4 linked regions of the Lonchura striata genome follow. The protein of the gene in region 1 purifies or fractionates together with the protein of each later gene. This does not show direct contact. Links are inferred from orthologs where the notes say so. Each region holds a gene or a part of one and is shown in the gene's direction. Other genes may lie near its edges.

Region 1 (7,769 bases):
ATTTACCTACAAAAAGGGTTCCCCAGAATCAGTCTGGTGCTGATCTAATTCCCTCTGAAAGGAGGTGCCATGTGGAGCCCTGTTTCAGGGAATGCTGGAGGAGTCCACATTTGGGAATCTGGAAAAGCACCGTGATGGTGAAGTTCTGCAGAAGGAAAAGTCACCCTGTGGGAAGCAGTGGGAGCTTTGTGCAACATCAAAATCAGAGGTAAATTGGGAAGAGCCTTAGAGCCTAATTCTGTATTTCTCTGGAAGTGCTCCTGGTGGCTTGGATACAATCCCTGTGCCCAAGGCTGAGCAAATGGCACCTGGAGCTGGGTTCAGGAGCAGCCACAGCCCAGCTCAGCTCCCTGCTATCACTCCCCACTCCAGAGGAAGACCTGGGGGTTTCATCCTGACTTCCTCCAGCAAGAGTTCTCCAGCCAGACTCCCCCAGGAGGATTATTACTGTTATAAACTTATTATAAACTTCTTATTAAAGTGGGGATCTCCTCTCCCAGGGAAAGGGTTCAGCAAGGAATCCTCCATCCCTTTCGCCTCAATGGAGCAGAGAGGCAAGTGGGGGATGCTTGGCACGGCTGGCACGGCTCAGAGGGGACCTGCACTGGATTTCTTGCAGCTTTCTAAGGGAAAAAAAAACCCAAAACGTGCAAACCAGGGGGTCGGTGCTGGGATCCAGGGCTGCCGGTGGGATTTGCTGGCGTTCACTGGGAGAGCTGCGCTCCGGCGTTCCCTGGATTGCTGCTTCCCTCTGTTGCTAGTCAGGGCATTGCAGGGAGGCTGCAGACGGGAAAAGAGCCCGGCAGCGGGGCAAAAACCTGCCAAGAGAGGATCCCCCCATCTCTGCTCCCCGCGGGACCCGGCTCAGCCCGCGGCGGGGCTGCCACCCCCGGGCACGGCACCGGCTCCGGTCCCCGCTGCCCCGGGAAGCTTCCCTGGGAACGGCCGCCGGAATCCTCCCCAAAGATTAGTATGGAAAAGCTCCACGTACTCAGTTTTCCGCGGTGCTGCGGAAATCCCAGCCCCAAAGACAGAGGGAGAAGGAAAAGCACGGACCGAGGTCCCTACAGCCAGCCCAAAAAGGGAGAACAGCTCCTGGAGAAGCAGAGCAGAGGAACCTCAGTCTATCCAACCGTGCCAATACTCACGTGTTGTGACCACAGAGGTCACACCATAAATAAAATATAAATTCGAATCAATATTAGGATGATTAATAAGGTCTAATAAATTATTAGAATGATTATAAACTCAACATTTTTTATCACAGTGAAGGGCACCATGGGCTTTCAGCCTTGCTGGGAACTGGCTGAGTTTGCCCACTGAGTTTCTGCACTCTCTGGAAGGAGCAACTTTGAGTTCATGATCAACTTTAGGGCTCGAGTTTAGCACCAGAAACGCTCAGTATTTGTTATCAATTGGTAATTCACTGCTGTTCCACCACCCCAACAGCCCAGAAGGAAACATGACAGTGTTTTGCAGCCACCTGAATGGGAGATAAATGCAGAAACTTGATGTAACAGGGCTATGACTAATTCCTAAGGACTCTCTGGCAGAGCAGGACTTCTGAGAGCCATTCCACCTCTCACATGGAGCTGCTCCATGACTTGGGAACTGGCCCTGGACTTTCTCTCCTCCTCACAACAAGACCCATCAGGCTCATCCAGACTACAGCAAACAGCTTGAAAAGAATGCTGCCAGCCCAATGCTGCCCTGTGCTATCACTCATTTGTCCCGGACTGTTAAATTCACACCTGCAAAATGAGGTTTGTAAAAGCAATGGAGGGAGAGAGAGAGAGCTTTCCTGCAGCACGCTTCGAATCTCAGGACCCCTCTGTGAGGTCCAGAAGCTTATCAATAATTTTTTTCTGAAGGGGAGGCAGGTTGGAGAGAAATCCTCTCTGACAGCAGCTCGTGATAGGGCAGGAGGCTGAGGCCGCTGCTCCCCTCCCTGCCCGCACAGGGACCTGGAGCACCCAGCCAGCCCCTGCATCTCACCAGCATCCATCTCCTGCTGCTTCTGCCATCCCTGGCTCCTCCAAAAGCGCTCTCACTCCAGAGTTAAGCCACTTGGGAGCAAACTTTCCAAGGCACTTCAATATTGTGTCACAAGCCCACGAAGGGAAGCGGCCACAAATCATCCTCCAGCCGCATTATGGAGAAACTCACCCGCACCCAGAGCAAAGGCTTTCCTCTTGGAGGTTTTTTTCCCCTCTCCTACCTGAGTTTTGAGTTCCCCCGGAGGTTTCCAGCGGGCAGGAGTGGCCTGGGATTGAGGATCTACGTTATTTACTGCTCTACACTGGAGTAGCGTCCCGGTCGCCAAGGCAATGACATTGGAGCTGCTGAAAGCTGTGTGAACAGCGAGGCAAAGCTCCTGCGCTCCTTCCTGGGATAGGAGGCTGTGCAAGGGGGTGGGGAGTGCTCAGCCAAGCGTGCCAGGGAATTAAAGCTGGTCACCAGCGCCAAAGTGACGCTGGGCAAGTTGGCTGTGGGGGCTGTGACAGTGGTGGCCACCTGGCAGCAGCGCTGGGCTTTAATCGGGCACAGAATCAGGGCATGGTTTGGGTTGGAGGGACAATTAAAGATCACCTCATTGCATCCCTGCCATGGGCAGGGACACTTTTCACTATCCCAGACTGCTCCAAACCCCGTCCAACCTGGCCTTGGGCATTTCCAGGGATGGGACGTCCAGCAAAGATGGATGTCAGCATATCAAGGAGGTTTTTCCCCTCATTGGATAGGCAGACTGAGCAGGTTTTGTGTTTGTATTCAGCCAAGGGACCAGATCATCTCTCCCACAGGGATGGGGAAGGGCTCTGGGGTTCCCTGCACTGCTTCTCCCGGGCAGCAGCGACTCAGGGAGGAGCACTGGGTGAAGAATGAACATTTCTGATTAAAAACCATCACCCATGAGGTTAATTATGGATCACAGACACCCTGTCACACTGACACCCCCCTCACAAACTCCCGTGTCACTTGCTGGTCGCTTGCCTGGGATCACCCAGGTGGGCAGCAGGCTCTGCTCATCCTTGGGCACCACTGCTGGTGCTCAGCTCCCCTGTCCCCAGCCGGGGACACAAAGCCACCCCCCTGCCCACAGGCACCCCCACGTTACGGGGAGGTGGTGGTGACAGCACAGCAGCTGTCACACCTGTCCCTCTGCTGTGGGGGCAGAAAACTGATGCATTCACCCCCCAAAAAACACACGGCTGCGGCTGGAAGCAGCTTCTGGAACCCAAATAATCCCGAATGAAATCACGACTCCAATCCTCAGAACCTCTGATCATGAGGTTTATTCTTGATGGTGACTGTGCCCTCCAAACAGGGTGGGGGGTGCCACCCGGCCGAGCTGTCACTGGGACATCTGGGGACTTCAGGTAATGCTGGGATGACTCTTTGCAGATTTTAAAGCAATCAAGTATGAAAGAAAAAAAAAAAAAGTGTATTTTTTGACTCCAGTCAACAAACAAACTCAGTCTCTGTCTGAGTTTGTCCAACTGAATACCAGTCTTGCAGAGATTTGCAACAGATTTTTGTGTTGGTAGCAGTAGAGTTCTTGTGTGTGAGTGAAGCCCTTCCTCACACCTATGTGAGGAAGTCAGATTTTTGGGCCAAAAATCCCAGGGATACACACCGTGGGGACAAAGGGAGGCAGTTGTGCATCCCCTGGCTGTTCATAAAATGTGTATTTGATGATTGGCTCTTCGCAAATATTAAATGGAATACTGTATCTATTATGGACGGTTAGTTTGTAATACTGTATGAATCCTTTTAAAATAGTGTGTTAAATGTAGTTTTAGGTTATCACATAATGTTAAAATAGAAACTATGTGATGAAAGATATTTTTACTAGCTCAAGGAATGGGATAAGATAATCAAGAAACTCTTCGCATAGAGATAGCAACAACACGAAACCTGAAGAGTTACAACCTCCTTATCAGAAAAACCAAATATTCTTCCACCTTCTCTCTGTCTTTATGGAACCACCAGGATTAAGGGGAGGAAGTTGACAAAAAACAGAAAAATTCTTAATTTGCAAGGAATTTATGCACCATGTATGAGATACATGAACATGCAACAGGCTGTTGCTTTTAAGGATTATCCCTTTGTTCAAGGCATGTTTTTGGCAGCTCAGAGCCCGAAAACATCTGGAAGTCCAAAATTCTTTGCTTTTTATTGTCTTGGAGTGTCCTAATCCTCATTGTCCAAGTTTTTATTACTCTAATTTTATTACTATTTTTAATGACTATTTTATTACTAATAAACTTTGAAGATTTTAAAAAACAAGTGATTGGTGTTTTTCACATCTACATTGATTGATTGATTGATTGATTGATTGATTGATTCCAGTCACTTCACATCCTTTTTGCTGGCGTATCTCTATTCCAATTATTAGTTTCTCTGTCCTGTTTGGGGAATCTGGCGCGACATCCCACCTGTTCTCCCATTTTTGTCGGTAATTAGCCGGCAACAGTGATTAGCCCGAAGGGCTGATTAATTAGCCAGAAGGGCCGGTTAATTAGTCAAGGCTATTCCAGGCGCGGGACGGTGCGCGGGGAAAGGCGCCAGATAAGGGGGGTTTCCCTGAGGATAAGGAGAGGAGGGAGAACTCACCCCGCAGCTCATTAACCGCGTCATTACCCGGCTCATTAGCAGCTCATTTGCATACCAATGCCGCCTTCCCGCGCGCTTCCCGCCGCCGGGCGCCCCCTGCCGGGCCGGCGCGGGACCACAACTCCCGGCGTGCCCCGCGGCGGCCCCGCCCGTTCCGGCGGGCCCGGCGGAGCGGCGCGGGGCGGCCGCAGCGCGGCGGGTTCGAATCCCGGCGGCGCCGCGCCCGCCATGAACTTCTCGGAGCCCTTCAAGCTCTCGGGGCTCTTGGGCCGCTTCTCCCCCGACGGGAAATGCCTGGTGAGTGCCGGCCGCGGGCAGCGGCGCCGTGCGGCCCGGCACGGGGCCCCCGCGCGGCCGGGCCGGGCTGAGGGCGAGGATGGAGCCCCGGGGAATGCCGGCCTGAGGCTGCTGCTGAGGGGCAGTACCGAGACCTGAGTCAGCTTAAATTAATCGTAATCTGTTAGGCGAATTGTTTAAAACTAAGTATGACTTTAAATTAAGTAGTACCTGAAGGGAGCCTCCGGGGAAGATGGAGGGGGACTTTCCACAACGGTTTGGAGAGGCGGGACGGGGGAGAGCAGCTTCAAACTGCCTGAGGGCAGGGCTGGACGGGGGAGAGCAGCTTCAAACTGCCTGAGGGCAGGGCTGGACGGGGGAGAGCAGCTTCATCTGCCTGAGGGCAGGGCTGGACGGGGGAGAGCAGCTTCAAACTGCCTGAGGGCAGGGCTGGATGGGGGAGAGCAGCTTCAAACTGCCTGAGGGCAGGGCTGGACGGGGGAGAGCAGCTTCAGACTGCCTGAGGGCAGGGCTGGACGGGGGAGAGCAGCTTCATCTGCCTGAGGGCAGGGCTGGACGGGGGAGAGCAGCTTCATCTGCCTGAGGGCAGGGCTGGACGGGGGAGAGCAGCTTCAAACTGCCTGAGGGCAGGGCTGGATGGGGGAGAGCAGCTTCAAACTGCCTGAGGGCAAGGCTGGACGGGGGAGAGCAGCTTCAGACTGCCTGAGGGCAGGGCTGGACGGGGGAGAGCAGCTTCATCTGCCTGAGGGCAGGGCTGGATGGGGGAGAGCAACTTCAAACTGCCTGAGGGCAGGGCTGGACGGGGGAGAGCAACTTCAAACTGCCTGAGGGCAGGGCTGGACGGGGGAGAGCAGCTTCATCTGCCTGAGGGCAGGGCTGGATGGGGGAGAGCAGCTTCAGACTGCCTGAGGGCAGGGCTGGACGGGGGAGAGCAACTTCAAACTGCCTGAGGGCAGGGCTGGACGGGGGAGAGCAGCTTCATCTGCCTGAGGGCAGGGCTGGACGGGGGAGAGCAGCTTCATCTGCCTGAGGGCAGGGCTGGACGGGGGAGAGCAGCTTCATCTGCCTGAGGGCAGGGCTGGACGGGGGAGAGCAGCTTCATCTGCCTGAGGGCAGGGCTGGATGGGCTCTTGGGGGGGAATTCCCTGCCTGGGTGGGCAGCCCTGGCACTGGGGGCCCCGAGCAGCTGTGGCTGCCCCTGGATCCCTGGCAGTGCCCAAGGACACGGCTTGGAGCAGCCTGGCGTGGTGGAAGGTGTCCCTGCCCAGGGCAGGGTGGAGCTGAATGAACTTTAAGGTCCCTCCTAATCCAGACTATTAAGGGATTCTATTAAATAAGGGGTTCTGTGAAATAAAAAAAGTTATAAGACAGAAAATATTTTTTTAAAAACTGGCGTTGCGTACCCAGCAGTGATGGAATTGAGGATTCTACTTACTGCTGTAAAACCCCCTTTCCCCTGGGTTAGTTCTCACTGCAGTTCACAGTGGAGCTCAGCACATATAGAACAGAATTACAGAATCCTAGACCAGTTTGGAGTGCAAGGATTTTAAATCTCATCTGGTTCAAAGCCCCTGCCACACTCAGGGGCACCTTCCACTATCCCAGGTTGCTCCAAGCCCTGTCCAACCTGACCGTGTACAATTCCAGGGATGGGGCAGCCACAGCATCTCTGGGCAATCTGTACCAGTGGCTCACCACCCACAGGGAGGATTTTTTTTTTAAATTGAAACAGAGCATTGACCCTCTCTGAGCTAAGCCTGGCATCACAGCGAGCCTGGCAGGGACAGCCCTGGTGCTCCATCCAGGATCCTGCCCCAGCTCAGCCCTGTCCCCGTCCCCCCCAGGCCTCGTGTGTGCAGCACCGTTTGTTGGTTCGGGATGCCAGCTCACTGCAGATCCTCCACCTCTACACCTGTGTGGATCAGATCCAGTACCTGGAGTGGTCCTCAGACTCTCTGTTCATCCTGTGTGCCATGTACAAGCGGGGCGTTGTCCAGGTGAGGATGGAAGCAGGGCAGGACTTTCCCAGTTTGGGTGTGATGCGAGTGAGAGCTTAACAGCACTAGTCTGAGGCTTTGCTGAGGCACCTTGATAACACACTTTGAGGATAACCCAGCATGCCAGGATTTTGAAAGCCACGACAAACATCTTAGTTTGAAAAAGAATATTTAGGATAAAAATATCTAGCAAAACAGAGATTTCTTACTGCAGTAGGAAATAAACAACATGCAAGCTTGTTAAATGGACCAAACCCATTTAGATGTTGGATATTCAGCATATTTGTCACAGAGAAAAAGCCAACCCCACATCCTTTGCCATTTCTATGACCACCCAGAGGTATGGGACTCACTTTTGCAGCGGGATCCAGCGCCAGTCCTTCATGGCTGCGGGTGCTTGGGTGTTGCTGAGCTGCCTGAGCCGGGATGCAGGAGCCTGTTGGCAGCTGCAGGGAGCCCTTCCGAGCAGAGGTGTGGGTGAGCTGATGCTTTCTGCTCTGTCTGCTTGCTCCCTGCCCCAGGTCTGGTCCCTGGAGCAGCCGGACTGGCACTGTAAGATCGACGAGGGCTCCGCGGGATTGGTGGCTTCATGCTGGAGTCCGGACGGGCGTCACATCCTCAACACCACCGAGTTCCATGTGAGTGTGGGGGCAGGCTGGCTCCCCTCGGTGTCAGATGGTGCTGTCTGCCCTTTGCCTCCCAAAATAACCCAAAGCCCTTAAAGCTGCAGCAGTGGTGGAGAGCACGGATGCAGCTCTGTACTCCTGTGTGTAACTCGGGTTAATTCCAGTTTGTTGTGTTTGTTGTTCCTCTAACATTTTGTCCTCTTGCTTCTAGTGAAACACTAAAAAATGGACACTT
Region 2 (7,890 bases), on another chromosome or scaffold:
GGATTGAAGCAGACATGCAAAATATTGCACATATTCTCCAAAGATGATGTATGTGTAGTACAGGATAAGATGGGAAGGAGAACAGCTGTTTCATGGCATGAGTTGCTATAGCTACTAACATCAAAATTTGTCATGAAATATCTGCATCACCGAAACTCTTCAAAAGAGTTCAACTAAATGGCATTGTCTGTGCTGCTCCTTACTTCATGGAAGAGGTCCCTTGAACTACTGTCTGAACAATTTCAGAAGGGAACCTGAGTTGCTGCAGGCATTGTAGCCTGTTGATGTTTTATCTTCCTCCAAAGGTCTTTGGGGTAAATTCAGTGAAAGCTTACTTGGTGCCTGCCTTCCAAAATGGAAGAAAAAACTGCCTATGGTACTCTTATTATGTGTGGAGATAGTTAAATGAGGGAAATATCTGCTCCCGTCTTTAATCAGAAATAAGGTTGCAGAAAGAAACATGTGGTTGTGGGTCTCTGAAAGGGCTTAGTATCTAATACCTCATTGACACTAAAACTGTGGAATCCCATTCCTCTCCCTGTTCTTCCTTTTCTCTTTCTTCTGTCCTAGATTGTCTTGCACTTGTTCTAGCATATTTGGAACACCCTGTGAGCCAATTCACCTGCTAAGCTGCTGGAACTCTCGCCCAACAAAAACATAAAATAAATGGAATTAATGAGCTGTATGACTCAGATGAGAGTGCAATAAAAACCAGGGCCTGTGCAAAAGCCTAACTATGTAGACAATTTTGGGGGGGAGCAGTGAAATAGTGGCAATCCTTGTTTTAGTTGGCATCTTGTCACTCACCCTGAGGCAGTTTTATTCAAAGGTTTTGGCTGTGGTTTCTTTTCTGTGGAGTCAGCATCCTTTTTGTTTTGCACCCACTTGGATTCCTGAAGCTTAGTTTGCTTTCCATGGCTTTGGCTTGGCACAAAGACCTGTTACTCTGACAGGTAAGAACACCGTCTCATCTGTGGATATTTTTGTGATTGTTGGTGTCCCTGGCCAAACTCCTGGGGAAAGCCATCTTTCTCTCTGCTTTATTTAACCTAACAGGGATTAGTCTGAAATTTCACTGTCCAAGTGCAGGAGCAGAAGAAACTTTCAGCCAGAAATTGAATGTCTTTTAAATACTGAGCCAAGTGACTCTCATGTAGTGGGACACTGGTGGAGAGGAGGGAATGGATCACACAGGTGGGCTTAAGAATGGAAAGTCCTGTAACCTGCTGTAGGTCTCTGCATCTTTGGAGCCACCGATGGGCTCCAGAGACATCCATTAAGATCACTGCATGACTGGAGCTCCTAATGTGTGAGCTGGAACTGAGAGCAGACCTTAAAGCTCTTACTAGTGCAGAGCACAACCCACAGACTGGCTTTGAGGTTATTTTTACACATCTCCACAAAGAGACACAAAAGCCCTGTGAGCTGGGCTTTGTCGAGTCACAGTTCTTACACCAGGGGACAATAAAGGAGTCACAGGCTGCCACCAGCCTATTGCATAACCAGATCAGACATTTTAATGAGCTTCTGCTCGACCAGGCTCCGTCAGCCCTGCTGATTTGTAATCAAGCAGGACACTGCTATAGAAACCACTCCAGCAAACAGGGTTTCTGAATGTACTTAAGAAGATGAGTTTGAATTGAAATGCAAACAACCTGTGGATCAGCCCCTCACTTTCTGAATTATAGGAGCCTGTTGTCTTACTGTTCATGCTACGGTTTAATCCATCTTGAATTTAAGTTTTGAGATATTTGAGTTATTTTGTATATTTCACTTCATAAAGCAGTTTCTTCTGGTTCTTTAATTTTTTCCCCATTATAATTCTTAATCCAAATTTTTAGCAAATAATTACAAAGAATAAATTATAAATACATCTTCAAGATTTCTCCAATAATTTATTCTGTAAAATATGTTTGTAAAAGAAATTGAACTACAATCAATTTTTAGGCTAACAGTCTGCATGACAGAGTGGAACAGCTATGAAATAACACAAGTTGTTTGGTTACTTTTAAACTGAATTATAAAACAAAATAAAAGGAGACTCCAGATAATTCAGTTGATTAGACTCAAGCAAACCCAAATAAAGAAGGAAAAAACTGTTTGAGGAGTTACTCTTACAATTTGGGTTATTGTCAAAGACCTGACATCTGCTACAGGATATTTATGATATTATTCAAGAGAATACACTAAATAGTTGACTAGTTGACTGTATCCCTGAATACCCCAAGCTTCCAAAGATACCACCCTTTCTCTGTACCAAAATCCTCCTTATGTCACCTTCTTGAGAATCACTTTAGAAAGCTGGGTTTTACTTCTCACTCCAATTTACGAAGACTATGTTATACCAAACTGATGCATTATCAGTGAAGGATTGTGTTGGACTACAGTTTTTCATAAGGTAGAATTTTCTGATTCTTTTTCCTGAATGCATCCCACAAAGACTTTTCCTTTCCTGGCCAGCCTTTTAAAAAAACATAACCCAAACCTGATCCATGATGCACAGCAGAGTGCTTGGGGAGTTCTCCTTTGAATAGCATCAACTTCAGGAACAGCTGCTAAGATCAAATGGACAAAGGGAATTCAGCACCACCCATGCCTGTATTATGTTTTAAAGCTCCAGGAGCTTAATCCTTCCTGTGAGCAAGGTCTGTTGTCCCACTTGCCATTACCACTAACATATTTTGTGTAAGTCTGCTTCCTCCTTGGAGTGCACCTGTGGCAAAGCTGCACTATAAAGATCCAAAGTCTTTGCATAAACCTGAGTGATAAAATGGAAGTTTTCTTCTGCAGTGCAAGGAATGATTTCCTACAACCCAAATAACATAAAAAAAAAAATCAGTTTCTAAAAAAAAAAAATTAAGTGTTTTTGCAAAGGTACCAAGAGCCAAAACAATAATCAGTATTTCTGCAAGCTGATAGAACCTCCTTCTGACACAACAAGAAACAGTTTGCTTACTTGCCCCATATTCTTTTTCACCTGCCTGGAGAGGTAGTTATGGTCTGCTCGTAACTGAGAGAAATGGCTTTATTTCCAATATGTATGGCAGGAGTATACTTTGCCCCTGGAAGTTAAATTTTCTTGACTTTTGAAAGGCTGACTTTTACCTCAGTCAGCATTTTTCCATTCTTAAGCTGACCTTTGAAAACCAGAAATGCTGAATGAAAGAGATTATGGAAGCAGGGCAAGCACAGTGGGAGAGATGTAGGGAGGTTTATCACAGCTGTGTTTGTGGCAGGAAAACCTATAAAGCCCATTTTCTTTTGCAGTTCCATCCCTTGGATGGAACACAGAGCATTGTTCTGTCTACATGATAACCCTAACACTGAAAATGCTAACGTACTATTTGTGTCCTATGTTACCACTTTCTTATACTGAAAATACACAGAAAATAAGCAAAGTTTGCCAACTTGGGTGGACAACTGAATTTAAGAAAGAGTATATAACTACAATCTATTAAAAATAAATATTTTATATCCCAATCACTGCTATTTTTCTGTGGTGGTGTCTTTCCAGTCACAAGTCATTCTGTCTACTGCATTCTAAAGCTCTTTTCTGTCAGTAATTTTTTTTTTTTTTCTGTTTCTTGATCTGGTCTATAACACCTTAGCTTTTGAAGTAAAAATAGCAAGAATAATCATCAATCTCTTCCTGTCAACAAAAGCCAGGAAGTAAAATGTCCCAATAAATTTACTAGGTTAGAAAGCTGGCATTAGTTTATTAGCAGTGCTTGATGCATGGGGTTTTATCCTCAAAGCATTCATGAAGAGCAACCTAACAGGCCAGGTTATATCCATGGAACTAATGCATATTCATCACATTTCTACTACATATTCATTACATTTCCTGAATACATATGTAGATGCTAATTGTTTCCATTAACTTATTTGAATATGAGGTCTTTTGAGTGTCTTTGGTGGTTGTTTGTGAACACCCCATGCCTCAAAATTTCCATTTTATGGTCCTGAATTATCTGATGAATCTCCTTTCCTTGAGATCACTTTGTTTAATGCAAAGTGATTACTTGCACTGAATCCTCCAACAAAGCACTCTCCTCAAAGCTAAATGTAAAGAGAATATTGGACCTATTCTGGTGACCTCATCCTAATTAAAAAAAATACCACAACAGGCTAAGATTGACAATATTGAAAATTGTTGTTTCTTAACCTGGAAATACATTAGGATGAAAACTTCCAATTTTGAAAGGCAAGACGTCACATATTTAATGGTGAGACATTGTAAGTTTAATTTATATTCTCTGGGGAATAAAATATGTGCCAGGCTGGGTGTCTTGGTGCTTTTTCAGCATCACTCCCAGCCACAGAGAAGGCTGTCAGGTCTTCCACAGGGCGGCATTTTTGTGACTTGTGACTGGGAGAAGAACATTGAGAGCAGCTGTGGAAGGACTTGGGGGTTCTTGCGGTCGAAAAGCTGGACATGAGTCAATCCAGAAAGCCAACCCTGTCGTGGGCTGTATCCAAAGAGCCATGGCCAACAAGTCGAGGGAGGGGATTCTCCCTCTGCGCTCCCGTGAGAGCCCGCCCGGAGCCCCGCACCCGCTCCGTGTCCTCAGCACACGCACGGCGCTGTGCTGGGAGGGCACGGAGATGCCCGGAGCTGGAGCAGCTCTGCACCTCAGGCTGCGAGCTGGCACTGCTGAGCCTGCAGATGGCTCAGGGCGAACCTCATCGCGCCTTCCCGTGCCTGAAGGGAAGAGAGAGAGCCTGCCCTTGGACAGAGGCAGAGAGCGGGGCCCACGGGCCGGGCCCGCGCCGCGGGCAGGTGGCGGAGCCGCGCGGCAGGTGCCGTTCCGGTCTCCCGGCAACCGCCCGGCCAATGGCGGCGCGGCGGGGCGGGGCGGGCCGCGGTTTAACCCCGCGGGGCCCGGCCGGGCCGCGGGGCTCGCTCGGGAGCCGCCTCGCTGCCGCTCCTCGCTGCGGCCCAGCAGGTGGGGGTGCGCGGCTCCCCCGCCCCGCGGCGGGTAACGGCGGGGCGCTGGGGCGGCGGCCGGGGCGGAGGTACCGGCTCCGCTCCGCTGGGCTCCCCCGGGCCGGGGGAGGGTCCGTGCGGGCACAGGAGCCGGCGGCCGGGGCGGGCTGTGGGTGCTGACATGTGCTGCCTTCCCTCAGGCTCCGGCTGATCCGCGGGGACAGGGCGATCGCGGCGGGGCTGGGCGTGCCGGCGCTCCCCGGCGCTGGAGGCCCGGCGTTCGCCGTCTGTGAAGCTCCAAGCGGCAGATGCTCGGAGGTGAGAGCCGGGAAGCTTTCCCCTGAGTCAGGGAACTGGGGGCTGCTCGGGCTGAGCTGGCGGCTCACGTGATGGAAGAGTGCAGGCTTCGTAAGGGACTTGGGGCGTTTTTAAAAAACGTTATTTAAATTTGTATTTATTTGCAGCAAAGCTACTTTAAATCTGAAGATCAAATCGTAATGCGAGACTAGTTTGTAGTGTTTCTCCATCCCCGGATTATGTAGAATGTGCTGCTGCTTGCGGTGGTGAGTGAAGTAGTTCAGCAGAGCTCCGTAGGCTGCCAAGGTATGATAGGAATTTTAGGGCAATGACTTGAAATACGAAGTATTCGAAATATAATGTGGAAGTATTAGGTAAATTTTAATAGTGAACTCAGAAAGGAGACCTAGAGAAATTATTTGATACAATGAAGGGGAGTTTCAGATTATAGGTGTTTATGGGGAAAGATGTTGTTTCTAGGTTTGTTTTTTTTTTGGGGGGGGGGGGATGGGGAAAGCTTTGATTCTAATATCAGTTATAATTTAGACCAGAAAGATCACAGGAGAAGGTAACACCAGGCTCATGGGGCTCAATATCTCAGTTCTGAAGCTGGCAGCAGATGCTAAGGAAAAGATGTTAAGTATAGTTTGGTTGTACAGCAGTGCTTTTATCTGTGTATCCTTCTAAGATGCTGCAGTCTGAAATGGAAGGATTTCTAATCAGAGGCTGCATCTGTGTTTTAAAATGTAATAGATGTTGATGAATGTTTTTCAAAAAATTTGAGACAGTTTATGTATTGATTATTCACAGCAACTGATGGTGAAGCAAGTCCACAGTTTGTATTTTATGTGGAAAAAATGCCCTTATTTCCCAGCTTTTGCACTGAATGTTTCTTTGCGTTCTGTACAAGTGCTGTGTTAAAAGAAGCAAAGAATATTTGTTTTCTCTATGTTGCTGTTGTTTCTCCAGCTGTTTCCTCTTCTAGCTGATAAGTCACAGCTTATTAGTTTCTTGTGTGAAATCATTGCTTGACCTTTCTTGCAACATATTTAGGTACATTCTGTCTTTTTTTCCAAGGAAGGTTGTATCACTGTGAGATATTTCAGGTGCAGAAGCTTAGTGTTCATCGGGAGTCATTATGGTGGTCTCTTCTGTCCTCTGCTCCAGGGTTCTGTTGGCTGCCTGGGAGCTGTTATTTCCAGAGGACTAATCATAGGGACTGGAATCTCTGCCTGCATGATAATGCCTAACTAGAGTCTGTTGGTTTAAGTGCATAGCAGAGTTGGCCTTTTCATTGTGTTAGTTTGTGTTTATGGACAAGGAATGTCAGCTGCTGATTTTTATTATCCATTTGTTTGGTATGAGGACAACCTTCTGCAGTTTGTCATTCAACCTGTGTTTATTTCTGTGAATAACTCTGTATAGTAGATGAGTATATCATATGTTACAGAGAGATGCCTGCACAGACCCCTTTTGGGCTCTAATTTTTCTCCGTGACTTTCATACACTTTGTTCACCCACCTATAGCTTGTTCCTACACTTTGCCCTTTTCCTTTTATAATCGGTCACTAATAAATTCCTTAGCATCTTGATTTAAGAGCTTTTGGAGGGAAGATTGTCAAAAGCTTTTTGAAAATCCAGTTATGCTGTCTTGCCCAAGTGTGTTGGATGATTCCTTCTTCCAGAGCACTGTGGCAGAACTTAGTGTTCCTTCCTTCCACAGAAGGTATGCTGACATTTCACCAGTCCCATTTGTTTGGAGTTGTCAGGTCTTTCTGTGACATTTGATTAACAGAAACCTGGAATTTACAGAATTATTCTTTGAATTGCCATGTAATCGCTAGAGAAATAATGTAGTTGTCTTCTTGCATTCCATGCCTGATTTAAATTTCAGGTTACATGCTGCGGAAACATGTAAGTTTCCCAATTTCTGGTACCTGGAATACTAGTTCTGGCTCTGCCCAGTAGATATCTCGCCAACTTCAGGAACAAATAAGATAGTGGTTTGCTTTTCTTTTAAAAAGTTGTCTGCTTGCAGAGACAGCTGTAAAATTTGGATAAAGCTGACATCAGGAAGGAGAGGAGGACATGCAGAAGATGGTTTCTGAGGTTCTCTTGTCTGTGACACAGGGAGATTTGCTAACAGAATGTTCTGCTCTGGCTACATATAGTCAGTGGTTTGTGAATGCAAAAGGAGAAATTCAGTTTTGGAGATTAACAATAGAGTTATTGTTTAGTGATAGGAAAACGCTAATGTGAAACCCATCTTGTTAGTTCAAAATGGGGTAGGAATTTGGGAGCCAGATAAAATGTTTCCATCTGTTTCAATTTTTTCAGTGATTGAAGTAACAGAATTTCTGTGTGTGTATGGCATGTAGAGTTGAATCTTGAGGTAGTACATCAGATTGTATTCCTTGTACCCTGAGTGTTTGAGGCAAAGATCATGATAGAACAGTCATTGAATTCTGAATTTTATCAGATGTAAGAGTATATTATTGTGTAATTATATGTGTTGAGAAGAGTAAATATTTATTTTCTTAAAACCCTTGGTAATTTTAATTTGTTTTCCTGTTTGCTTTTCTAAGTAAAATGGAAGGGAGAAGTATAGTTGGGATTTTTGAGTATGATGTATTCAGAATGAACGAAGACTTCATACCCAAAAGCTA
Region 3 (7,947 bases), on another chromosome or scaffold:
TTTTTTTGCCTGCTTGGTTTTTTTTTTTGGGTTTGGGCTTTTTTTTTTTTTTTTTGCAGGGGAAGGGGGAAGTAGAAGATCTAGGTGCAAAATTATCTATTTTCATTATGACATTTAGGGACTGATGGTAATTTTGACCATAAAACTAATAAGCAAAAACTGAGATTAAGAAGTACATTTAAGAACCCCCCGCTACCTTACTGAAGATTTTTGTCCTAGTGAAGATGGGAATTGATTTTGCTGTTGACTTCTCTTAAATAGTTCTATCTTGTGAAATTTATTAGGGATACTGAAAGCATGCTTGTAAGCCTCCTCAGAATGTGACCTGCTCCTCACACCTGTAAATGAGATCATACATTTATCTTTTTATAAGTGCATTTTTTGCCATACAAGTTTCATTGTCTTAGAGCCTGAATGTATCTGTTCCTTCCTTTGAAGGCTCTTAGATAGCATTTTATTTACTGGTAATTCTGACTAAATGAGTTACATGAAACTCAAAATTCCCTTTTTGATAGTATTATGGTTATTGCTTATGTTTTTCTGAATTTGTTCTTTTGGTATTCTTAGTATTTTGCTTTTCATTTCTTTTAGTTGAGAAAGTAGCTAATGAAAGCCAGAAGACACCCAGGGATGTTGTCATGATGGAGAACTTCCATCATATTTTTGCAACACTTTCTCGCTTGAAAATTTCTTGTCTGGAGGCTGAGAAAAAAGAAGCCAAACAGAAATACACTGATCATCTTCAGTCTTATGTAATCTACTCACTTGGACAGCCTCTTGAGAAATTAAATGTGAGTATATTTGAGTATTCATTTAAATGGTAAAGGATAGTGGAAATAATACATTCAAAAACTGTTTGATGTCTTTATCACTGTATCTATCGTAATCCCTTATTATTTTGGATTGGAATATGTCTGGCAAGAGTATTCATGAGGATAACAGTTTTGGATGAAAATAACCAAATTTTTCATGGCAATTAATAGTACTGACTAAACATCAGTGTCTTAAGCAAAAGGTTTTGAGGAAGAAGAAAGTGAGGGGAAAAGTCATCAGGATTTTGGGGATAATCTTTCTCACCTCAACTGCAGAGAAAATTGCTGTAGTTTCTGAGCTGTTCAACAAGAAGAACAGTTATAGGAAAATTCTGTGTATCTGAAGTTGAACTAAATGTTAAACTGAGTGGTGACTTAGGTTCAGATTCAGTTCTGTCCACATGAACGTCTCATGGCTTTTTCTATAAACAGGATTTCAGGCATCCATTTTCAGAGGCATTTAAGATGTATTCCTGTTTTGAAAATTAAAATGCTTTATTGCTGTTTCCACTTTTGGATTGACTCTGACCAACATCTAAGATGTCACATAGCTAAACTGCTGCTCAGTCCCCCCTCTCCAGGGGGGACAACAGGAAGAGCAAAAGTGAAAAAACTTGGAGGTGGAGGTTAAGACAGTTTAATCAGAGAAGGGGAGAGAGAAAGATAGAGGGAAAAAAAATAAAGTAAGTGGTACAAAACCAGTCATTGACTACCTCTCACAAGCAGACTGATGCCCAGGCAGTTTCTGAGCAAAGCCACTTTGAAGCCAAACACCAAACCTGCCTCCTCCAACCCTAATTTTTATAGCTGAGCATGATGTTATGTGCTATGATTTGGTCAGGTTTGACCTGTTCAGCAGTAACCAAAACATTGCTGTGTTAACAGCCCAGTTTTAGCCACAAATCCAAAACACAGCACCATAGAGGCTGCTGTGAAGAAAGTTAACTAGGGAGTTACTTCTGTCCTACCCAGACCTGATGCACTGTTGAGCTCAACCTACATGTTCATAGAAATACTTCCCTCTATTACTAAAACATTTTTATTTACTATGTTGAGAAAACTGGCTAATGACAGTGAGAAGGGAGGGCAATTGTGAACAAATATGCTCTTGTGTAATTATGGTTTAAAAGATGCTCAGGTGCTTAGGGAGATCATCCAATAGATCCAGTATTTGGATCCCTGGTTATGAGCTCATGAATTGAGGATTTTGAGGCTGACTGGTTATTAGTTAAAAGGTTGCAAAGAAAAGCTCAATTGCTTCTAGAAAGGATTGGTTTCAATTTTATTCTAGTGCTTGGACTGCTGTCTTGTTGAACTGTGTTTTAATGTTTATGGCTGAGCAGTACTTCATGCCCAATTAAGAAACAAAAATTGGGAGAACACAACAGTCATTAAGCCAGATCAAGATTTAACCACAGATATTCTTGTCAAATGCTCAGATTTGTGATAGTGACTAATGCTATTACTTGTTAGCATTTTTTTGAAGGTGTTGAAGCTCGTGTGGCACAAGGTATACGGGAAGAGGAAGTAAGCTATCAGCTGGCTTTTAATAAACAAGAGCTTCGTAAAGTTATAAAGGAATATCCTGGTAAAGAAGTGAAGAAGGGATTGGATAATCTCTACAAGAAGGTAGATAAACATCTCTGTGAAGAAGAAAACTTACTTCAGGTAAACTAAATCGTGTCTTAAAAACCCTATAATGTTACACAGAGGCTTTTTATTACTGCTTTTGCATATGTATTCTGTGAGAATGTTCAGCATAACTCTAAAAACATAAATTTTGAGTACAGCTTTTGGGTTTTTTTAATAAGCATACTCTGTTTCTATTTGTTTAATACTGATTTGGACGAGAGCAGTAGAAAAAAGTCCAGAAAGAAACTACTTTATGATTCCCTAGCTGACCATTAATGGGTGATGTCTGTTCTGCAAAATACATTGGAAGTAGAGAATAGATTTAAATTAATGGATAACCTGATGTGAATCTTAATTGGTGCACTATAGCAGAATATTTTCAGTTATCTATTTTCTGATAGTTGTATTATCTAATGTTTTCCTTACACTGTGTGAACTTTTTCACTGGAGTAAATAACAAGTAGACTTGAGTTAAGCTTGTTTAAACAGCTTTTTAAAGTCTGAAATGTGAATTATAGCACTCTTCTGGTTCGGGGTGCTTTCCTGAAAGGCAAAAGCAATACCTCTGTTAGGAGAACTTCCCCATCTTCTATTTTCTTCTTTGCACATTTATTATGTCATGTCAACATTACAGATCTTAATGGATAAAAACCATCAATCTTCTTTTTAATACAGTAACTCAATCTATTGAACTTTATTAGTAATCTTTAGCTGTAAAATGACACCTGAAATGTGAGAATCAATTAATGAACCAATGTTTTCTAGTTAGCCTATGTATTATGCCAGTTGACTTTTCCTAAAGTTTGCTTTCTTTGGCAGGTTGTGTGGCATTCCATGCAAGATGAATTCATACGACAGTACAAGCACTTTGAAGGACTGATAGCTCGCTGCTACCCTGGATCAGGAATTACTATGGAATTCACTATACAGGATATTTTAGACTACTGCTCCAGTATTGCACAGTCTCATTAAGTTCTAGGAAGGGAAAGAAGCTAGCAAAGTGTGTGCCTGTATATAAGGGAATCAAACACTATAAATGTTAATGGGTTTTTAAAAGGTGTTTTTCCATGTGTGTGTAGTTAACTGCCATGTTTGAGTAACACTCCTGCTTCAAATGCCTTTCAGGGCAAAATAAAAACTTTGGGGATTTATTGTGCTTCTATTGGGCTGAAGTAATGTTTGAAAGCATTATTCTGTGAAACACTTTGGATACAGTTTTTCCCTTACCCTAATATTCAAATATTTTTATTTATAATTCCTTCTCTTGCCAAAAGCAGTAAGCACTACCTTCATAGTATGCCAAAAGAATACTGTTTTCACTAATATTTTTCATCTTAGAAATTATGTAAGTATTGAAGACTATCAGATGTTTTCCCTTCCTTGTTGTAGGAAGTATGGATGTAGAACTTTATGCAGTGGGAAGATTGAATTCATGTTCTAAGATATGTGACTACAGCTATAATTCTTAATTAAACTATGTTCATCATATTCTTTATTTCTGTGGAGAGTTATTTCAAAAAGTTGAAAATACCTGAAGGAATTAATTCCTTTGTTTTGTTGATGGTTATTGAAGAGTTGGTGCCTTTCTGCATTCATGTTGTTTTTCTTCCTTTTAGTAAATATGATGTAGTATCACTGTACTCTAACCTCATGTAAATCCTTCCTCTTCCTGGAGCTTCAGTTGCCAGGGATTCAGGACCTAGGTTTTCTGTACAGCTTGGTGAAATTGCCAAGTTGTTGGATAGAAGTGGGGTGTATACAGGGTAGAAACACATAAAATAAACATGCAGAGGTAGAATGTTTTTTCAGATGCAGATGCAATAATAATAAAAAAAAAAAAAAAAAAACAACAGTATGAATGTCAGTTTTTTTGTAACAAACCTGCTAGATGCAACCTGGATTTCACAGATTCATAGAATTGTGTTGGAAGGGATCTTAAAGATCCTCTAGTTCCAACAGCCTTCCAAGGGCAGGGACACCTCCCAGTACACTAGGCTGCTCAAAGCCCCATTCAGCCTGCCCTTGAACACTTCCAGGAGCGGGGATTCTACAACTTCTCTGGGCAACCTGTTCAGCGTCTCACTGCCCTTACAGGAACCAGCTTTCTCCTCCTAACCTACCTAAATCTACTTCTGTTTCACTCTGAATCCTTTGCCCCTTCTCCTGTCGCTGCATGCCCATGGAGAACATCCTCCGTCTTTCCCGCAGGCTCTCGGGGCCGGGCTGTGGGCACGGGCGAAGCCGCTAGTCCCGGGTCTCCCGGGTCTCTCCGCTTGTCCCGGAACTCCCGGCTCGCGGGGCGCTGCAGGAAGCGTCCCGCCCGGCGCGCGAGGGCTGCCGGGCCGGGAGGGGAGGGGAGGGGAGGGGAGGGGAGGGGAGGGGAGGGGAGGGGAGGGGAGGGAAGGGAAGGGAAGGGAAGGGAAGGGAAGGGAAGGGGAGGGGAGGGGAGGGGAGGGGAGGGGAGGGAAGGGAAGGGAAGGGAAGGGAAGGGAAGGGAAGGGAAGGGAAGGGAAGGGAAGGGAAGGGAAGGGAAGGGAAGGGAAGGGAAGGGAAGGGAAGGGGAGGGGAGGGAAGGGAAGGGAAGGGAAGGGAAGGGAGCGGAAGGGGCGGCCGGGCCGCGCGGGCGCGTCCCCCCGTTGCTGCGGGGACGGGCCGGAAGCGGCCGCTGCTCCGCGCGCCATTTTCAAAGGATTTCAGGCGCTGGGACGTCGCGGGCCTGCCAGCGGGCCCGCTTGCCGACGCCTGAGTTTAGTGGTGAGTGTGGGGAAAAAGTGGCGTGAACCTGCTTGGAAAGTGACCGACCGCCCCTCTTGTAGGTACAGACTGGGATTGCTGGAAGGTCTGCAAAGCTTGCAGTTTAGGGAGGCGGGTGATGAGCAGGCTGATAATCGAAAGGGTTTTGTTGTGCCGAAGTGGGAACGTACAGGGCATGGTGTCAGGCTGCCAGGGAGGACGTGGAGTCTTCCTCTCTGCAGACATTCTAAACCCACCTGGACGCGTTCCTGCCACCTGCTCCAGGTGACCCTGCCTTGGCTGGATGATCTCCAGAGCTGCCTTCCTAACCATTCTGGCATTCCATTACACTTTAGCGAAAAAAACCTGTTTCTTCGGGAAAAGCGTTGTCTTTCCATTGGCTAAGTGCCGAGACTCCACGGCAAGCGTGTTGTATGAATACCTTAGTCAGAAATGAGCTCCCGGCAAATCCACTTGGAAGCAGCCTTTCCTGAAGCAAGTGCTGGCTCTCTGGGTGTGTCTTCAACACGATGTTGCAGCGACTGCGTGTCACGGCACAGCCCTAAAGCACCGCGGTAGTCAAATATCAGGTCCGCTGAGTGCCTTTGGTACCTGGGCGAACAGGACAGGGAAAAAAAGGGAAAAAAACCTTTAACATGTAAGTTCTGGTGAATGAAAAATGCACTTTGGTATTTCCCAAAACTGAGACTGAAACTGCAGTTCACTATTGTCTTTGGTGTTAATGTTACAGGCTCAATTAAAAAACTTGTTTCATAGCATATACATTTGTCCAGAGTAATTTCTTTGTGTTCAGCTGTTATCGATGTAGTTTTGTTGTCCACATGGCTTGATGACTGCATTATTTCTTCCATGGCCAAGATCCACCTTTGCTCTGCTTTTTTATTATTACATTTTCTGATTGATAACACAAATATTCCATCTGCAACAGTTCTGAACCTGTACTCAGCATAAATTTTGCTGTGTTATTCTCCGAATAAAAGGAGGACTTCAATCTGCTAATCTAATACCTATAAATATTGCTTATTTCACACAATTTTGTGCCAGTTGATTCTCTAGTTAAAGCCTAGAGCAGCAGGATATAAGGTTTCACTTTTGCCCATCTTTCACATCAAGGATCAGTTGGTGACTTAAAATACTAGGGAACACTTCTTAGGTGCTACATATATCTATTACATAAACGTATCTTTAAAAGACTGCTCACAGCCATCCAAGCATGTCATAAAATGAGGCATGTGAATGTTGTTACCTTCAGCAGTTTTCATCAGCAAAGGGGGAACAAAAATGAGGCTAATTGGCTCTGAATACTTTTCAGCAAGCAACTGAGAGGTGTAATCATTTAAACATATTAGTAAACCCTATTTAGCAAATGACTGATTTCAAGTGATAGAGGTGTAATCATTTAGATGTATTAGTAAGTCCTGTTGAGGAATTGTCTGAGTTAAAGTACTGTTCAATTTTCTCTTTTCTATTTTTCATCAAAAATGGAAATTTGATTCTCTTCACAGCAGTCCTAAATTGAAAGAAATATTTAGATGATAAATTATGTGAACTATTTATGCAGCTAATGTAGCCTGTCTCATGGGAAATACCAAAGCTGTTAAGAGTGCTTTCCAGTACTTTGCAAACTTACAGACATCTAGTAGGTATGACATACCTTTCATCAAGATTCGGTTGTGATTCACAAGGCTATTAAGCTTCTTTAAAGAAAAGCAAATTCTGGATTGAATTGACTTGGGTGCAAACAATGTAGAAAACTTGGATTTACAAAAAGGCTTTTTGAGAAGGTTCTTTACCAAATGTTTTTAAGAAGGCAGGTGTCTGTCAGAAATGGAGAAAAGAAGCTGGAGATTAAAAGAGAGAGTAGAAAGTACAACCTTACACAGTGAATGTGCAGAAGATTGTCTGCTGTTTAAGACTGATCTGAAACAATGGGTTAAACAGCAAGGGAAAAATTTGCTCATTTTATAAACATGTTAAGTGTGATCTCAAGGATTGTGAAGAGTTTCACTGGACTGAATAATAAAGTGGGAATTAAAGAATAGCATTAATAAAGGCAAAGTGATACATGCTGTGTTCTCTAGAATGGCACTAACTGCTCAGAAAAAGATGTGGCACTGTGAATGCATCTCATCTATGCTTTAGGGCAAACAAAGACCAAATGCCCTGGTTTCAGGTAGGATAAAGTTCGTTTCCTTCCTAGCAGCCAGTGCAGTGTTGTGTTTTGGATTCAGCATGAGAATAATGTTGATAACACTCTGGTGTTTTGGTTGTTGCTAAGTAGTGCTTGCTCTCAGCTGAGGACTTCTCGGAGCCAGTGAGGAGCTGCACGGAAAGCCATGAGGGAACATAGCCAGGACAGATGATCTGAGCTGGTATTCCACTACTTAAAAATAAACCAGGGAGTACCCAGAGCAGGGCTGGTTGTGCTTCGAGGACATGCTGGGCATCAGTCAGCAAGTGGTGAGTAATTGCATTGTGCATCTCTTGGTTTTATCACTCTTTCTTGCTTAGTAGTAGTATTATATTTTGTTTTAAATATTAAACTGTTCCAATGGCAATCTAAAAAAAGTTTTGCCTTTTATTCCCCTGATTCTCCCCTCCACCCCTGTGGGAGTGGGGAGAGTAAGCAAGTCAGCTGTGTGGTGCTTGCTTGCAAGCTGGGGTTAAGCCATGACAAACACTGATCAGTAATGTGAGAGAGTGGGTTAAACAGCAGGGGACAAAATTTGCTCATTATGTGGACATGTTA
Region 4 (7,378 bases), on another chromosome or scaffold:
AAGAAAGAAGGGCACAGCCTAGTGTCCTAAGTATGAAAGCTGCACTGACTTCAGGTATAACCCAACATTATCTATTTACTTGTTTGGCTCCTTGCTGACACATCAAGAAAAATGGAAAACATCAGAACTGCAAGATCAAAAAATCTAAAAGACATCACGAAGAATGGGGTTTTTCTTACTGAACTCTGGATGCCTAGAAGCAAGATGTCTACATCTGAGCTAGTCCTTGAATTCCTTTGTGGGTTGTGGAAAGTGTGAGTAGGAATATTCTTCTTTAAGAGGGTAAAGTTACTATGGTTAAACTCAAAATGAAAACTTTATCTTTAAAATTGATTTGTCATCTTTTACTCTTTCTTGTGAAGAAGACTAACTGCACCAAGCTTCCACAAGACTGTCAATCTCAAATATTATTAAATCAACAAAGTTATTATCTTTCTCTGTCCCAGTTCTCTTACCTAATGGCCAGAGATTGATATTCTGGCCTCTAACATTCATTTTATTTCCCTTCCAGAAACACCAAATTTTTTCTGCAGCCAAACCCCAAAGCACTGTTTTAAAGAGAGAGATGAAATTTGCTTACATTTTAAAATTAAAGCCACATGGGAACTCCCAGAGAGCAGATGGCAAGAGCAGCCTACAGTCCTCAGGCAGCATAGACAGGGGTATCTGAGAGCTACATATTTCTACTGAATGGCCTCTGAATGGCAGCCAGTGAGTCCCTGAGATGGTGTCTCACAACAGGAGCCAGTAAGGCCACCGCTCTGCAGGGCTCCTCAACAGTAAAATCCTGAGGAAGGGGAAGCTGTTTTCACCCTTTAATAACCACAGGTTTGAATTAGGCACCTAGAACCCAATGCTTCTTTACTCAGTTTGAGGCAAATTTCATCCTATATTCCCCTAAATCATGCAAAACCACCTGGGAAACCCTTTTATAAAAGCTGAAGATTCATCCAGTCTGGTTCTGAAGAGAAAGCTCTTCAAAGCCAATTTGAACAGACTTCATTGTTGCAGAAGTGGACACTGAGGGTGAAGAGTTTGGCTATCAGTGGTTTATATCTACTTGTGTTGGTAAAAAAACTGACCTTTAGGTTAGGTTTTCATGGCATAAAGCCCCACATCTAAATATATATATATTCAAATCACTGGAAGCAATGCAACTGTATTAATTATCACTGGGCTAATCAGCCAAGAAGACAGACATTTCATACCTACACCTGCTCCTTCCTCTCTCTGCACACTGTTGGGAAACATGCACAGATCCAAAATACAGGAATTGATGTACTTTAAGCCAAAAATATGTTAACTTTATTAATCTTTATGAACTAAACTCAAGCAGAAAAGAAATGTCTTAGTTGTCTGATCATTTTTTCTTGTCCTATATTTGTTCTTTTGAAGCTCTCACCAAAGAACTTTCCACAATTTGTGACAGATGCTATTTTCATATTTCCACTATAATTCCTCTCAGGTTTCTGAGATTTCAGGAGCAGGTAGTGAAGTTGCTGAAGCATTTCACAAATGAAGCCCTAATACTAGAAGATCATTCACAGTTAGAGTCTCGGCTTTTAACCCATCTTTTTTCTATAGGTTTACCAGCACTGGCCATATGGCTGGAAAACTGCCTGACTCTTTGATCCTTTTGCCCCAGTAGCAGCAGAGGTATGCCAGGCATTTCAGGAATTGTTTTCTCTTTCATCCTGGCTCCAGCCCTTTGAAAAGTATCCTTCATGCTACATGGACTGTGGTGTTCAATCCCTTGGACCTGTTAAACATTTGTTACCTCCTGCATTTACATGGTATTTCTCAGCTCCCCTCAGCTGCAGCAGATTGTTACCCCTCCAGCTCCCTTCTCCTTGCTCCCTGAGGTCTCACTTTCAGTACTACAGAACTAAGTATTTTCCATACCCCTGAAAAGTTGGTAACATCAACCCATAAATTTCAACAAAACCTGAGGCGCTACTAGATCACAAATAATTTTTTAAGTACTCCTTCACAGTCTATGCATACAACTTCAGCAGAAATCCACTAAACAAATACGTTTAACCTCCTTAAGAGAAAACATGTTCCTTTTAGCAGCTTATTCAGGAAAATAAACTCCTTTACAAGTTATTTTTGTTTGAGAGAAAATATATTCATCCCAACAGAGCTTTTCCTCTAACAGGTCACTTTCCAGTTACATACACTTTTTTGAAGCAGTGGAAGTCATGCCTTTGAAAGGGTTCCTGCTTCATCCCAGATTCATTTAAAGGAGTTTCACATGTCAAATGTAAGATGCATTTCCCTGCTTTTGATTTCTCTTTCATGCATTTACCCTTTCTACTCTCGATATTGTCTATTCACATTTTTTCAATAAAAGTCAATATAAAAATAAAGCTAAAAAAGATAAATAAGAGAGATTCATTGCATTCCTGTGTAGTTTGCTGGCTGCACAATAAACTCACTGAATGAATTTCAGGCTCCAATGGCTCTCTTTTAAGCTCAAACATCTCAAAAATTTTACATTTCCCTTGAAAAAATTTCTCTTACCACCATTCTACCTAAGCAGCATGTCAGTGGTACCAAGACTAAAAGAATCTCCTCGAAGTGCATGTCCACTCACTCCAGTCTATCTTAATTAATGATATGTGCATTATGTTGGTAAATTATTCTTTTCTTATTTGACAGTACTTTTTCCTGAAGTTTACTAAAAAGTGTTGTAACATGTAAGCACTCAATTTTTATCAAGCACACCTTATTCAAACCCGCCCTCTCCTACTCAAGCATTGCATTAACACCAAATCCGCTAGGTCTTGTCTATGCTGGAATGTCACCATGGATTAGTTCTCTCGCTTTATTTGCAGTGACTTACCTATACCAAATTGAAATGCATCCGTGCAACTCTGCTGTGTCAGTCTAAGATACTTTCCTTGTTAATCATTGCATCCACAACTTTTGCTTGTTTGAATCAGCTGCTCAGCATTATAAGCATTTATCTTGTGGTGCAATGTTGAATCACTCAAGTCTGTAATTTTCAGCATGCTGTGGCACATTTACAAGAAACTACAGGAATCCTGGGACTGAGGTCAAGCAAGCAGATTCCTAGGAGCCTTATATCCCCCCAGCAGTGCTTCCCCGCTTTTTTCCAGCAGCCCAGAAAGTGCAACAGAAAAGCTCCATGATTTGGAGAGTTGTTGGCACAAGCTGGATGGCAGATGCAAAATTTTCATCCTTAGATTTGGCCCCTTGGTTTCCATGGATCAGAGTCTTCCACATGGTATCATCACATGCAGCACCTTGCAGGGCATGAGGATTTATCCCAGTCCTCATTTTTTTTGTTGCTCCCAAAGCTGCGGGCTGTGCAAATCCCACCTGAGCTGACTGGCAATGCAGTGGGGCCAAGAAGCAAAGCTGCCTGTGCAGTGTGGGAACCCAGCAGTGATGTGAGGCGTGAGACTGCAGATGGACTGGCGGTAATGGGGAAGGGGGGCTCATGCCCTGGGAGTTTCCCCTAGAACACAAGAACATGTTCCCGTATCCCAGGAAGGACAAAGACTTGTGGGAGTGAGACCAGAGGAGGCCACCATGTCGGTCAGAGGGATGGAGCACCTCTCCTAAGGCTAAGAGAATTGTGATTGTTCAGGCTAGAAAAGGATTCAGGGTGGCCTAATTGGGGCCCTCCAGTAACTGAAGAGAATCTACAGGAAAGATGAGCCAAGACTATTTACAAGGGTACACAGTGACAGGAAAAGGCGGAACGGATTGAAAAATTGAAAGAGAGTAGGTTTATATTAGAGATTGAGCGGTGAGGCACTGGAACAGGTTGCCCAGAGTTGCGGATGCCGCATTCCCGGGAGCGTTCAAGGCCAGCCCGGATGGAGCTCTGACCAACCCGGTCTGGTGGAAGGTGTCCCTGCTCATGGCGCGGGGGATGCACCAAGATGGTCTTTAAGGGCCCTTCTATCCCGAGCCATTCTATGATCCTGTAATTCTATTCTGTAATTCTACGATTCTGTGATTCAGGACAGTTAACAGAATTAAAACAGCCGTTTATCTTTATTCAACATGATGAAACCTGAGCACAGCAAAGGTTTACCAGGGGAAAGAAGACCATCCTTGCTACCGCGTCGCCCTCCTGCACAGGCACTGTGCCTGCGCTCCCCATGGCGCCGTGCTTCCCCCAGGAATGCCGTGCGCAGGCTGAGACCTGCCCGGGCTCCCGGGCCGCGAGGGGCCGCGGGGGGCCGCGAGGGGCCGCGAGGGGCCGCGAGGGGCCGCGAGGGGCCGCGGCTCCCGCCCGCCTGCAGGGCAGCGCCGGCACAGCGCGCGGCGCTCGCTGCGCCGGGCGGCGGCTTGGCCTCGCCGGCTGCCGTAGCGCGGCCGGGGCCGGGGCCGCCCGCGGAGTTCCGTGCCGCCCGGCCGGGCCGCGCCGCTCGGGCCCGCATGGCGCAGCACGGCCCCAGCGTCACGCTGTCCCTCACGCTGCCCATCACCTGCCACATCTGCCTGGGCAAGGTAACGCCGCTGCCCGGCCCCGCGGGCCGGGGCTGGCTGCGGGGGGCAGGGAGGTCGGGCCGGCGGCGGCAGCTCTGGGGCGCTCTGACCCTTGTGGCCGGGGTTGTGTCTTTTAAGGCTGCGCGGCTCCGTGCGGGGAAGGGAATTGGGGTGTGCGCCGTTCCCGGCGGGGGCCGGGGCTTGCCGGCAGCCTCGGGAGGTTGGGAAGCGCGCGTTGTCCCGGCGGGATCGTGCCGGGAGGTGTAGGATGGGCCTGGAGGGCCCCAGGTATGCCGTGTGCAGCTCCCGAGGGGCAGGTGCTGGCGTCTGGGGGCTTTCTCCCGTTACCAGTAGGGTGCTCCATTGTAAACGCTCGGGGAGCCTGTGTTTGAGTGTAGTGCTGTGTCGTGGAGGACAAGTGAAACAAAGAGGGGGCGTATAAGCAAGCAGATTTCTAAACTGTTCAGCAAAACTGCAGCAGTCTGGACAAAAAGTTCCCGTTTCCTCTCCGACCTTTTCTCAGTCCCTTTTTCTTTTCCCTCGGGAAGAAGAGGGCTCTTACTAGTCTGTTCTTCTCTAAAAGCCCCAGAGCCAATTTCATGGCTGTCACTAATTGCTTCTCAAATTCTTTGCGCATTCCTTACTAGTTTTTTTTTTTTCTCTCGTTTTCTTTTCTTAAAGCACAACATAATTACAAGTGAAGAAGTAGCCTTTTGTGTTTGTACTCTGGCACGTATTGTCTGGTTTGTTTCTACCTCACCTGGCCTTCGCTCCCAGACCTTCTCTGTTGGAGTGATAATAAAAGAGCGGGAGCATTTGGTGTGTGAAGTAGGCGTGTAGCATTAGTAGTGAAAGTGATCAGAAAGTGGTCCCTTAAGTCTCAAAATTCTGACAGCGTGTTACTTTAAGCAACCACGTTTACTCATTTCTTGGGTTTTTTTTTTTTTTGTTTTTGTTTTTGTTTGTTTGTTTGTTTGTTTGTTTGTGGAAGCTGAGCAAGATTTCCTGGCTGTTGTCATGTTAGTTTTCTTTTTTCTGTTTATCTGTCTAATGAAAATGGAGTAGAACCCAAGTGTACTCTGTATGTAATGCAGCATGGATACCTTCCACTCTGCAAAAAGTGGAGTGAAAAGAGGAGAGTGAAATTAAACTGACAAAGATATTTGCTATTTGTTCCTAGTTAATTTCTGATCTAAGCACTTAACAGTTTGGTTAGGTGTTCATTCATATCTTGCTGTAAAGCCACTGAGTTATTCCAAGCCACTATTTCATACTTTCACTTCCTTTTTAGATGTTCCTGAGTTTGTACTGGAAGAGGCTTCCACCCTCTTCCTTGCTCTCTTGCACTGAGACAATACATTAACATATATAAATGAATTGTGAATCTATTGGTGATTAATGTAATAAAGATATTTAAATGCTCTCACTTTTAGATGTGTAAATCTGTTTAAATTTTGACAAAGCTGACAACTCTGACTGCCCTTTCTTTTTAACAGACATCTTTGTCTCTAGTTTGGAACTTCATTGAAAAAGTTCACCAGAAAAACCCATTTTCTCAGGATTATTAAGGTTGGAGAAAGGAATTTGTTTAGCCTGTGTTAAGGAAAAAATCTTGTCAGTTTTTATTACCTTTTAGGGGAGAGCAGGGAGTATCATGGAGGGTTGACATAATACTGATACTTCTGTGGTTTATGGCATAGACTTCAAATCAAGTAGAAGGCCTACCCTAAACTCAGAGTGTTTCTCTTTCTATCCCTGCAAAATTTGCAAAGGTTTGACTGCAAGATACAAACTATTCTCTGTGCATTATGGTAAGAGGATAAAAAAGGAAATGTTGAAGAAAAATTCTTTTAATGAGTTGGCCACTCATTGTTCTTGATGGAGCTGAAGTCTTGGGTAGCAGGGACACGTTAGTCCATTTTGTTAACATGAACAATGTCAGAAAGTATATTGGCAAGATGTGCAAATAACCATTTAAAGTAATAGTGAATTGCTTGTATCAATTTCATGTTTGTTACCTGAATATTCTTTTGGTACAGTCTGGGCCATCTTCTAACACAGCTGCATTTTTTAATTAGGTAGCAGATCAGAAGCCATCTGCTTCAGACTGTTTTTCTTGTCCCAGAATGTTTGGAGGTCTCTCTTGTTGGTTTTGGTGTCGACAGGTTGCTTGGGCTCAAGACGCTGTTCTGTGTTGGTTGAAACAGTGTAGGATATCTGGGATTGGTTCACTGACTGGGTGTGTCTGATTTTTCATGTGCCTGCTCCTCCGTTAGTGCTGCCTGAAGGCCCAGAAGTGCCTTCAAAGTGAAGTCAATGTGTACAGGATTGGATGTTGATCTGCATAGGGATGGCATTATGTTGGAGGTGAAAAATTAGGAAATAGCTCAAAATTACCAAGCTGATTAAGCCTTCTGAAATAAACGGTTGTCTTTCTGGATATTATGGTCAATGAATGCACTGGAACTGTGCTGTAATTCAAGTAAAATGCTTTTTTAGTAGTAGGTATGTCCTGATCTCCTACCCCCTAGGCTTGTCACAGTTGGTGGGAGGGGCAGTGGCAGCACCAGCCATTGTGTGACATTTCAATAGTGGCTCTTGCTGTTCTGGTGTGCCTTGCTTTGTGTGGATCCTGAGTGAACTGAAGTATAAAACCCCAGCCCTGAAATGAAACTTGTAAAGGTGTGTAAATCAGAAGCACTGTACCCTGGAGAGTAATACATGTGACTTATTATTTTGCTAAAGATATAGAGTAATCATTCATGTGTGATTCTGTGTCAGGTTTGGGGTAACTGAGGGTCTCTTGCTCCCCAGGGGGAAAACCTGCACTCATGAAACGTCTTTTCCTGTTTGGATTATTTTATGTTGCTCTGCTCTGTATCTTATCATCACCATCCATGCAGCTATTCTC

Evidence for each region.
Region 2: the proteins of WRAP73 (region 1) and SSX2IP purify together in Homo sapiens (co-immunoprecipitation; 4 studies listed by BioGRID and IntAct, counting the BioPlex papers as one, with this or other methods). This does not show direct contact. The link is inferred for Lonchura striata from reciprocal best matches to the Homo sapiens genes WRAP73 and SSX2IP.
Region 3: the proteins of WRAP73 (region 1) and CEP135 purify together in Homo sapiens (co-immunoprecipitation; 6 studies listed by BioGRID and IntAct, counting the BioPlex papers as one, with this or other methods). This does not show direct contact. The link is inferred for Lonchura striata from reciprocal best matches to the Homo sapiens genes WRAP73 and CEP135.
Region 4: the proteins of WRAP73 (region 1) and OBI1 purify together in Homo sapiens (affinity purification with mass spectrometry; 3 studies listed by BioGRID and IntAct, counting the BioPlex papers as one, with this or other methods). This does not show direct contact. The link is inferred for Lonchura striata from reciprocal best matches to the Homo sapiens genes WRAP73 and OBI1.

The regions. Positions count from the first base shown.
Region 1 is NC_134626.1:3,815,375-3,823,143, reverse strand, and holds the start of WRAP73 (WD repeat-containing protein WRAP73), read left to right. Parts: upstream 1-4,769; 5' UTR 4,770-4,842; coding exon 4,843-4,911; intron 4,912-6,755; coding exon 6,756-6,908; intron 6,909-7,429; coding exon 7,430-7,546; intron 7,547-7,769.
Region 2 is NC_134611.1:18,201,815-18,209,704, reverse strand, and holds the start of SSX2IP (afadin- and alpha-actinin-binding protein), read left to right. Parts: upstream 1-4,884; 5' UTR 4,885-4,946; intron 4,947-5,127; 5' UTR 5,128-5,245; intron 5,246-5,312; exon of another isoform or gene 5,313-5,530; intron 5,531-7,890. UniProt on the Homo sapiens protein: Belongs to an adhesion system, which plays a role in the organization of homotypic, interneuronal and heterotypic cell-cell adherens junctions (AJs).
Region 3 is NC_134606.1:27,506,500-27,514,446, forward strand, and holds the start of CEP135 (centrosomal protein of 135 kDa), read left to right. Parts: upstream 1-4,934; 5' UTR 4,935-5,198; intron 5,199-7,479; 5' UTR 7,480-7,658; intron 7,659-7,947. Other genes in the region: EXOC1 (exocyst complex component 1), read left to right, coding at 592-791, 2,286-2,480, 3,264-3,416. UniProt on the Homo sapiens protein: Centrosomal microtubule-binding protein involved in centriole biogenesis. Acts as a scaffolding protein during early centriole biogenesis.
Region 4 is NC_134604.1:48,207,975-48,215,352, forward strand, and holds the start of OBI1 (ORC ubiquitin ligase 1), read left to right. Parts: upstream 1-4,363; 5' UTR 4,364-4,416; coding exon 4,417-4,488; intron 4,489-7,378. UniProt on the Homo sapiens protein: E3 ubiquitin ligase essential for DNA replication origin activation during S phase.